2 linked regions of the Arabidopsis thaliana genome follow. The protein of the gene in region 1 interacts with the protein of each later gene in a pairwise test. Each region holds a gene or a part of one and is shown on either strand. Other genes may lie near its edges.

Region 1 (4,142 bases):
ATTGATCGTATGGATCACTCTTTGATTTCATGAGAGAGGTTGGGTGTTCAGTGGTGATATATATGCTTCGAGAAGGATAATAACGTTGGGCTAATTAATGTTTAGATTTTAAGATTAAAGGTTTATGAATCTCAACGAGTCTTAATACGATAATAAGGGTTTAGGATGTTGGCAGGACCGGCTCAATGAATTCAGAACAAATCTTAAAAATTGGGGTTTTTATACTAAAAACAAAAAATTTAGACTCTCTTTTATGTTAAGAAAATCTTTAAAATTAGTCCTTTCATACTAAAAAAAATTTGGACCCTTTTTATATTGAAAAAATCTTTGAAATTGTTTTTTTCTTTACACTAAAAAGGTAAATTTGGTCCCTTAAATTTATCCCAAAAAATTTAGATCCTGCACATTGTTCCACTTGCACATGTCAAGAGCCGCCCCTAGATGTTGGGGTTGGAGCTTAGATTTCACGACACAGAGGTTAGATTGTTTGATATGAAAAGATAAGTCTTCATGTGAAGAAGAAGAACAGTATAAGGTAAACACAAAAGTTTTTGAAGAATGTTAAAGTTTTCAAAAGCTTACTAATGTAAAAATTAGCTTGAAAAAAGAAGTTTGTTTTTATTTTGGGTTAAAGTAACATAGCTAGTAACGTGATACAATATGTTGTGGCTGACACATATCAACATTGACTGACTTAACTTAGACTAAAGACGTACATTTTTGTAACTTAAACTTGTAAGTTTTTATGTTACTATATCGTGTACGTACAACGGGAAGAGACGTACATTTTTGTAATCTTGCAAGGAGTTTGATTCATATAGCAAAACACGTGAAGGAAAAGAAGAGTGATAAACGAAGCCATCTTGAAACACTTTCCCTTTCGGGGGAAAAGATCAAAAACGAAAAGAAAGTAGAACAACACACTCGTTCATAGAAAATGGAAAAGTAAGGTACATAAGACAAAGCATCGAGCATGTGTCGCGGACTGTGGAGAACGGTTGGGTCCCATATTCTGCTTGACGTGCCGTTATTCTCTTTTCTTTGTTAGCATAACAATGATCAAACTTATAAGATGACATTGCATATAAAGTTGTAAAAATACGCAAAAAATTGTTTGAATATATATTGTTTGAGAATGAACGATATATATATGTGATGAATACGTTATAAAATATGAATGAAAATCTTTAGTAAAAGTACGAGTATAATATTTGCTTATATCCCGTAAATCTGACATTTTTTAGTAATGTTTCTTTATTATCGAAACTATATGTTTCACTAACATAAATGTTTCAGTAATATTTGTTGTCAAGAAAATAAAAATAAAAATAATCGAGTTACATCAGACCCAATTTCATGATTTCCTCGCATTAGTTATCTAAAATATATAAAACGTAAGTTTCCTTTTTCTTTTTGAGAATACAGGATAAAAAAACTATAAATCAAATAATGAACATACTGCACTTTTATTTTTGCAATTTCGTTAGCACCTAGTAATTAACTAACTAATATATAGACACTTTGTTTTGGTTATAATTAACAACATTACGAGTACAATCAATTTGATTGCTACAGAAAAAGAGATATATAGGGGGTCATACACGTAAATTTGCATAAATCATTGAAAAGAATATTGGGAGTGATTGTCGTAAACCGGAATACTCATTTGGCCTGCGGTGACAGTAATTATTTTGACTCCACCGTCAAAGACAAAGACCGCACTCATTCTCTCTCGTTGGTCGAGTCAAACACATTTAAAACTGTTCCTTCGTTTCACGCTCTTCTCGTGTTCTGCTTCGGTTACAACTTCTCTTCTATCCAATACTTCCAAATCTCCACTTCACAATAAGAACCCATTATTGATTTCTCTACAAGTTATACATTACAAGAAAAAAGATGGGAAACTGTCAAGCAGTGGATACAGCGAGAGTGGTGATACAACACCCAAATGGGAAAGAAGAAAAGTTAAGTTGTCCAGTTTCTGCAAGTTATGTGATGAAGATGAATCCTGGCCACTGTGTTTCTCTCCTCATCTCTACCACCGCTCTCTCGTCAGCATCTTCCGGTCATGGAGGGCCTCTTAGGCTCACGAGGATCAAGCTCCTTCGTCCCACGGATACGCTTGTTCTCGGCCACGTCTATAGACTCATTACCACCAAAGGTATATATATTAGAGTAACATGCCTAAATCTACTCCAACATTTCAACTAACAATAATTCTACTCCAACTCTATATTCTTGCATCTCGATTACATATCTCGTAATTGAATTTGAACTATATATTTATTAGTCCGTTTGATAAATATGTTACATATATCTCGTAAGTTGCAACCCTAGGAAATGAATGAGCTATTTCCGCATAGTTAGCATTTGATTTTCTCAAACTATTTGTAGGCGCTTTAGAAAACTTACTTAACCGTACTTATACTTATGTTAAAATAAACACTCTCTTAAAAGTTATATTTATATACGTTTTTGGGGTCTAATCTACAAATTTTGATACTATTTGGGGTGAAATTCAGAGGTTATGAAGGGTTTAATGGCCAAAAAATGTTCGAAGTTGAAGAAAGAAAGTAAAGGCTCGGATGATAAGCTAGAGATGGTGAAAGCAATAAACTCTACTAAGCTTGACAATGAAGATCAGGTAATATGTGATTACAAAGATTACCATGTTTAATTATAGTGATAATTGGTTTTAACTTGGATGAAAAACGTCTATAGCTGCAAATGAAGAAACAGGAGAAAGAAAGGTCAAGAATCTCAAGATCATGGCAGCCATCATTACAAAGCATATCGGAAGGAGGATCAAGCTGAGCAAATTCTAAAACTTTGGGGAATATTAAAGAGAAGCTTCAGAATTTAAGGATATAGTTTGGAAAATATGAAGGCATGTGAGTGGCTAATGACAAAAGCTGGTCCTTTGGAGTATGTGATATTAAAGTGAAAAAATTCGAAAGCAATCATTCAGTTTTTTTTGACTGAAGAAGACTCATTACTTCTTCTAGTAGAATAATACAAAAATTATCAAAAGTTAGCGTTACAAACGTAACCGAAAGCATCGAGCGTGCTTGAAGCTGATCATGTATTAGATAATTGATCCAATGTACTCCAAAGGAGTATTATTAAAACATCTAAAAATTAAAAGAGAAACGAAAAAAGTATGTACAATTAACGAGGATTTGAACGGCGGAAAATTTTTGTCGCTAATCCCTCGCTTATATACAACAGATTTTGAAGATAGACATATCATATCATTGCAGTCTTATGTCCGTTGCAAAATTGTGATGACTAAAAATTGGTAACCAATGTTATAGTCTCTTTTATTTCTTACTGACTCCATCAAAATCTTGCTTGTAAACTTTGGACACTATTTCGAAAAGCAAAAACGTATTAATTTTGGAATTATTAAAACATTAATAGAATATTTAATATGTATAAATCAATAGAATACATTAAACTAATAAATAAATAATACAAAATATGAATTTTAACCATACAAAAAATCTCAACTATAATTTTAAAACCCCTCTAATAGCTAAAACTGTAAAACATATACTGAGTTGGTCTCTGATATTGCTCATAACCGACCGACCTAACCTAACCACACACGGGATACGCTCGATGTTCCCATTCTCCACGGTACTCCAACACTGGCATACAATACAAAACATTGAAGGAGACAGTAATGCCACGTGCACGGCTCTGCACCATAAAATTTAACGCCTCTGATTTAAAACACCACACATTGACAAATTGACATAACCAAAGCTACATAGAGAAAAAACACCAAAAATCAAAATTCCATCAAAGGGGCTTTTAAAATTTTGGACAAGAACAAAAAAAAAAGAAAAATGGCAACGAGAGGAGCTGTTGCTGCTGCTGCATCCACAATATGGAAGCACCGAAGAAACCCTTCTCTTCGATCATTATCTCGCCATTTCAATCCCAATTTCAATCATAGAATCATCCCAACAGGTACAATTTCATTACAATTCTGTTCTAAGATAGATACATGAAACATAAGAGTTGTGTCAAAAGTTCATATCAATTTAGGGTTTAAAGTCAATTGTGGTGTATATGATTTTTCCTTGTAGGGTTTAAATATCAAGTTAGGGCGATACAAGGAACAAGTACTGATCCTG
Region 2 (4,282 bases), on another chromosome or scaffold:
GATCCTTCTAACCAAAAAGTACACAATAGTGGTCCAATTTCTTATTAAAAAAACAAATTTGAAAGAGAGGACAACTTGGACAAGGAAGGTCGAATATGTCTGGAAAAGGAAAGAGCTACGTGACTCGTGTGAAGAGTTGTGCCATGCCATGTGGTGCTTGCTGATACCAACGTCATCATCATTTCACTCTTCTGATAGTCTTTTCCTTTTCTCTCTAGTTCAGTACTCTTTTGCTTTCAATCATTGACGTCGGACTCAAACCAAACCTCAATCCTCGATTTTCTTTGTTTTTGGTGATAATTTATTACAATTATCAGATAATTTGTGCCTACCTAGTGAAAGCTTAATATATAATGGCATTTGTTCGTCCACATCCAAAGATTTTCAAGCTTCTGCATTTTAGATTCGGATTTAAAAGTAAGACTATTGTGGATAACAAGTTAAAAGGTGTTTTCAACTCACAAAAGATGAGAGAGCATAAAAGTATGCAGACTGAATCATCTAGCAGTCTAGTAATCATGTTACTGTGCTAAATTTTGGTTTTGCCTTCATATAGTAATTAGATCACATTGTTCTAGGTAAATATCAAAATCTCAACAAATATTGATGTAGCCAACGACAAAAAAGAAAAAATGGGTTGATAAAAATCTGCCATTTGATGAAATACGGTATCATAAACTAAATTAGATTTGCAGTGGACTTATGATAGGTTCTTGAATTTTAGCTAAATACTGCGTACATAGCTAAATTGTTTTCTTGAACTAGACGTATTAAAAATATATAATGAACACGTACGCGAGAACAGCCAATTTCATGATTTTTTCCTACAAAAAAAAAAAATTCAACAAATTTGGTCATCTTCAATAATCAACTCATCTACCGACGTTGATCCATTAACCTTAGCCTCACAATCATAACCTAATGTTCTTTTTGTTGGTTTTACTCCGGTTAAAATGATCATGAATGAACCGATATGGTTTGGGTAAAGCTGAATAAGCTAACTCGTGGTGACTAGAAAACATTCCAAAAAGATCACTCACTATACTAAAAAGTATATCCTGCGGCTGTGGTTCAACGGTATAGAATAACTGAAATTTAGTGAAACTTATTGGTGCCCTTAAATAAACTTGACAGTTTGTTAGGTTTGGTTTCGCTTATGTAACCAGAAACTTCCTAAACTGTCAAATTTTATCTAGAATCTCTATTAAAGAGGGCAACGAAAAAAAAAAAGTAACACATCATGGAGAAGATGAACCACTAGCCACTGCCCCGCAGAAAATACAGGCTCGGGCCTCGAGTCACATATCAACGTCAAGCCCAGAACACTCTGGCTTGTTCAGAGCTACTTTTAGTATCAAACAAAAAACAAAAGAAGAAAAGACATTGCTCTTTTTAGGTGTTTATTTCATTTTTAAGTATTTAACCATATCTCTATAACTATCTACAAAAGAAACGTCGATCCAAAGAGTCAGGTTCACCTCTCGAGGACGTAAAAACAAGTAACAGATAAAAAACCTCGTTCCAAAAATTAATTTGGTATCAAGAAAAAATCTGTATATATACACTAGAATTCAAAATCATGGGAACTTTTTTTTTTTTATATAAGAAATAACTCAATTAACTCAAATTTAAAACTTAGGTTTTCTCAAAACATTAGTTCTTAACCATAACTTTTTTTTCAAATTTTATTCATACTACAAAAATTAATAACAGAACCATGTATTTTTAAAATTTAATATTTAATACCATTATTTCATAATTTATTATACTTTTATTAATTTTGTAATTATTGGTGTTCCACAGTGAAGCGGTTAACACACGCTGAATCTCGATATATATACGCTTGCCGATAGAAAACACTTAGCTCATATTCTCTCACTTTCTCTCTCAGCTTACGAACAAGAAAAAAAGAAGAATCTTTAGCCACCTTTGAGATCAAAAGATGAACATCGCTCACACTATCTTCGGCGTTTTCGGTAGCAACTCATTTCCTCAACCTCTCTCTCTGTCTTTCTATCTTCTTCGTCTTTCTTCCATGAGAAATCACTGAGAGTACTACTAATCCGTTTTTGTCGTTTTTCTACTTTTTACAGGAAATGCAACTGCTCTGTTTCTTTTCTTGGCTCCTTCGTACGTATCACTTCTCTCTTCTATAGTGAACCGATTTATGATTCTTTCGATTTCTTGTTGTTCTGTTCTGGAAAAAAAAAACTCAAGATTCTTTTTTGTTCGTGAATGAAATTAGGATAACATTCAAGAGAATCATCAAGAACAAATCCACTGAACAATTCTCTGGTATCCCTTATCCAATGACTCTCCTCAACTGTCTCCTCTCTGCTTGGTAAAAAAAATTCCCTCTTTTACGTTTTTAATCTTCCATTAGAGTATAGCTCTGTTTCTTACTTCCTCTGTTTCTGCGTTTCTCTGTTTTTTTCAGGTATGGACTTCCCTTTGTGTCAAAAGACAACACACTTGTGAGCACAATCAATGGCACAGGAGCAGTGATCGAAACAGTCTACGTGTTAATCTTTCTTTTCTACGCACCAAAGAAGGAGAAAATTAAGATCTTTGGTATCTTCTCTTGCGTTTTGGCTGTATTCGCAACAGTAGCTCTCGTCTCTCTCTTTGCTCTTCAAGGAAACGGTAGAAAACTCTTTTGTGGTCTCGCAGCTACTGTTTTCTCCATCATCATGTACGCTTCTCCACTCTCCATCATGGTAAGCAAACTCAGGATTGGATCTTTTTAAAGTTCTACTCTTTACTTTTGGATTCATTTTGTTAAATTTTGTGTTTGGTTCATTGATTTACAGAGATTGGTGGTAAAGACGAAGAGTGTAGAGTTTATGCCATTCTTTTTGTCACTCTTTGTCTTCCTCTGTGGTACTTCGTGGTTCGTCTATGGTCTAATCGGTCGTGACCCTTTTGTTGCAGTAAGTTACAATTTCTCCTTCTTGTGTTGTTTTCTTTGGTAAATATCAAAACTTTGTTTCTAACTTTGGGTTTTTGTTGTTGCGAAGATCCCAAATGGGTTTGGATGTGCATTAGGGACACTGCAATTGATACTATACTTCATCTACTGTGGAAACAAAGGAGAGAAATCTGCAGATGCTCAGAAAGATGAGAAGTCAGTGGAGATGAAAGATGATGAGAAGAAGCAGAATGTGGTTAATGGAAAGCAAGACCTTCAAGTTTAAAAGAGCTTTTGAGGATGATTTGGTTATGTGATTTCGTATTAACTCTGCTTAACTAGAGTTTTCCTTTTCGTTTCGTTGGAATGTAAAAAAAATGATGCTGAAAAATGTAACGTTTCCTAGTTTCGTACTGATACACTAGTGATTGATGAAGAATGACGATGCCTTTTGTGAGTTTTATGGATCTAATGAGCTTTTGAGTTTAAGAGTTAAAACTGATAAGCCTAATAGTAAGTGAGAACCTTAACAAATTTAACCATTTGAACTGAAATATGAACATGTAAAGACTCATTCACACTTAGCAAATAGGTTTAGAACCAAAACTCTAATTATTTTTATATAATAGGGAAAAAAAAGAAAGAAAAATTCTTCCATAAGTGTTAGATTAGCTTTTAGTACCTGTGATCACCCCTAACCTCTGGTAATAATACATGGAGATGATTTAACCAGTTACACAATAACCCAAGATTACAGTAAAAACATAATTATGTTTTATGAAACATAAAGACTATATGCTCTTGTCACTTATCTTACCTCCAAGCTGAAGCAACGATTAAGCTTTTCTCCTCCCAGCAAAAATGGAGCTCACCCATTTCTTCTTTAAGCTTGTACTTATTGCAATATTGTTGCTTTATCAGGTTTTGTATATTGTTGGTTACTTTAGCACTCATTGGTTTTGGATTGAATCCAGCCATCATCATCCTTGCTCTCCATTTTCCCGCAGCCTCGTATCTCTCTATCCGTTCTTCTCCTTCGCAAGCAACAATGTTGACTATGTCTCTAGCGAGACACTGTCTTTCTACATTCATCCTCTCTTGGCTTTCTCTTGGAAGTGTCATGTCTAGAGACTCGAAAACTGCTGAGTAGTATTCGTAAGCCTCTATGAATCTGGGAAAGAACGGTGAAGTGTTTGTGTTCACGTCTTGTTCAACGACCGTGACAAGCTTTGGGTTTAAGCTTTTGACCATGTGAAGTAGCTCGTCCCGCTGGTTTACTGTTGTGACACTCTCGTCAGGCATGTGGTGAAGTTGGAATGCAAAGTTCACTATTAAGGTTTCTCCTGGTTTGCAACCGAGTGTTGATGGAGAGAC

Evidence for each region.
Region 2: the proteins of AT5G50090 (region 1) and SWEET1 interact in a protein complementation assay, tested with the Arabidopsis thaliana proteins (one large-scale study listed by BioGRID).

What each region holds. Positions count from the first base shown.
Region 1 is NC_003076.8:20,368,065-20,372,206, forward strand, and holds AT5G50090 (D-ribose-binding periplasmic protein), read left to right. Parts: upstream 1-1,592; 5' UTR 1,593-1,896; coding exon 1,897-2,161; intron 2,162-2,522; coding exon 2,523-2,644; coding exon of another isoform or gene 2,645-2,677; exon of another isoform or gene 2,678-2,721; coding exon 2,722-2,814; 3' UTR 2,815-3,327; downstream 3,328-4,142. Other genes in the region: AT5G50100 (Putative thiol-disulfide oxidoreductase DCC), read left to right, coding at 3,852-3,975, 4,095-4,142.
Region 2 is NC_003070.9:7,510,942-7,515,223, reverse strand, and holds SWEET1 (Nodulin MtN3 family protein), read left to right. Parts: upstream 1-1,742; 5' UTR 1,743-1,942; coding exon 1,943-1,976; intron 1,977-2,093; coding exon 2,094-2,130; intron 2,131-2,245; coding exon 2,246-2,341; intron 2,342-2,437; coding exon 2,438-2,717; intron 2,718-2,810; coding exon 2,811-2,930; coding exon of another isoform or gene 2,931-2,972; exon of another isoform or gene 2,973-3,014; intron 3,015-3,017; coding exon 3,018-3,194; 3' UTR 3,195-3,474; downstream 3,475-4,282. Other genes in the region: SCL1 (SCARECROW-like 1), read right to left, coding at 3,722-4,282. UniProt on the Arabidopsis thaliana protein: Mediates both low-affinity uptake and efflux of sugar across the plasma membrane. Can transport glucose, and, to a lower extent, mannose, fructose and galactose.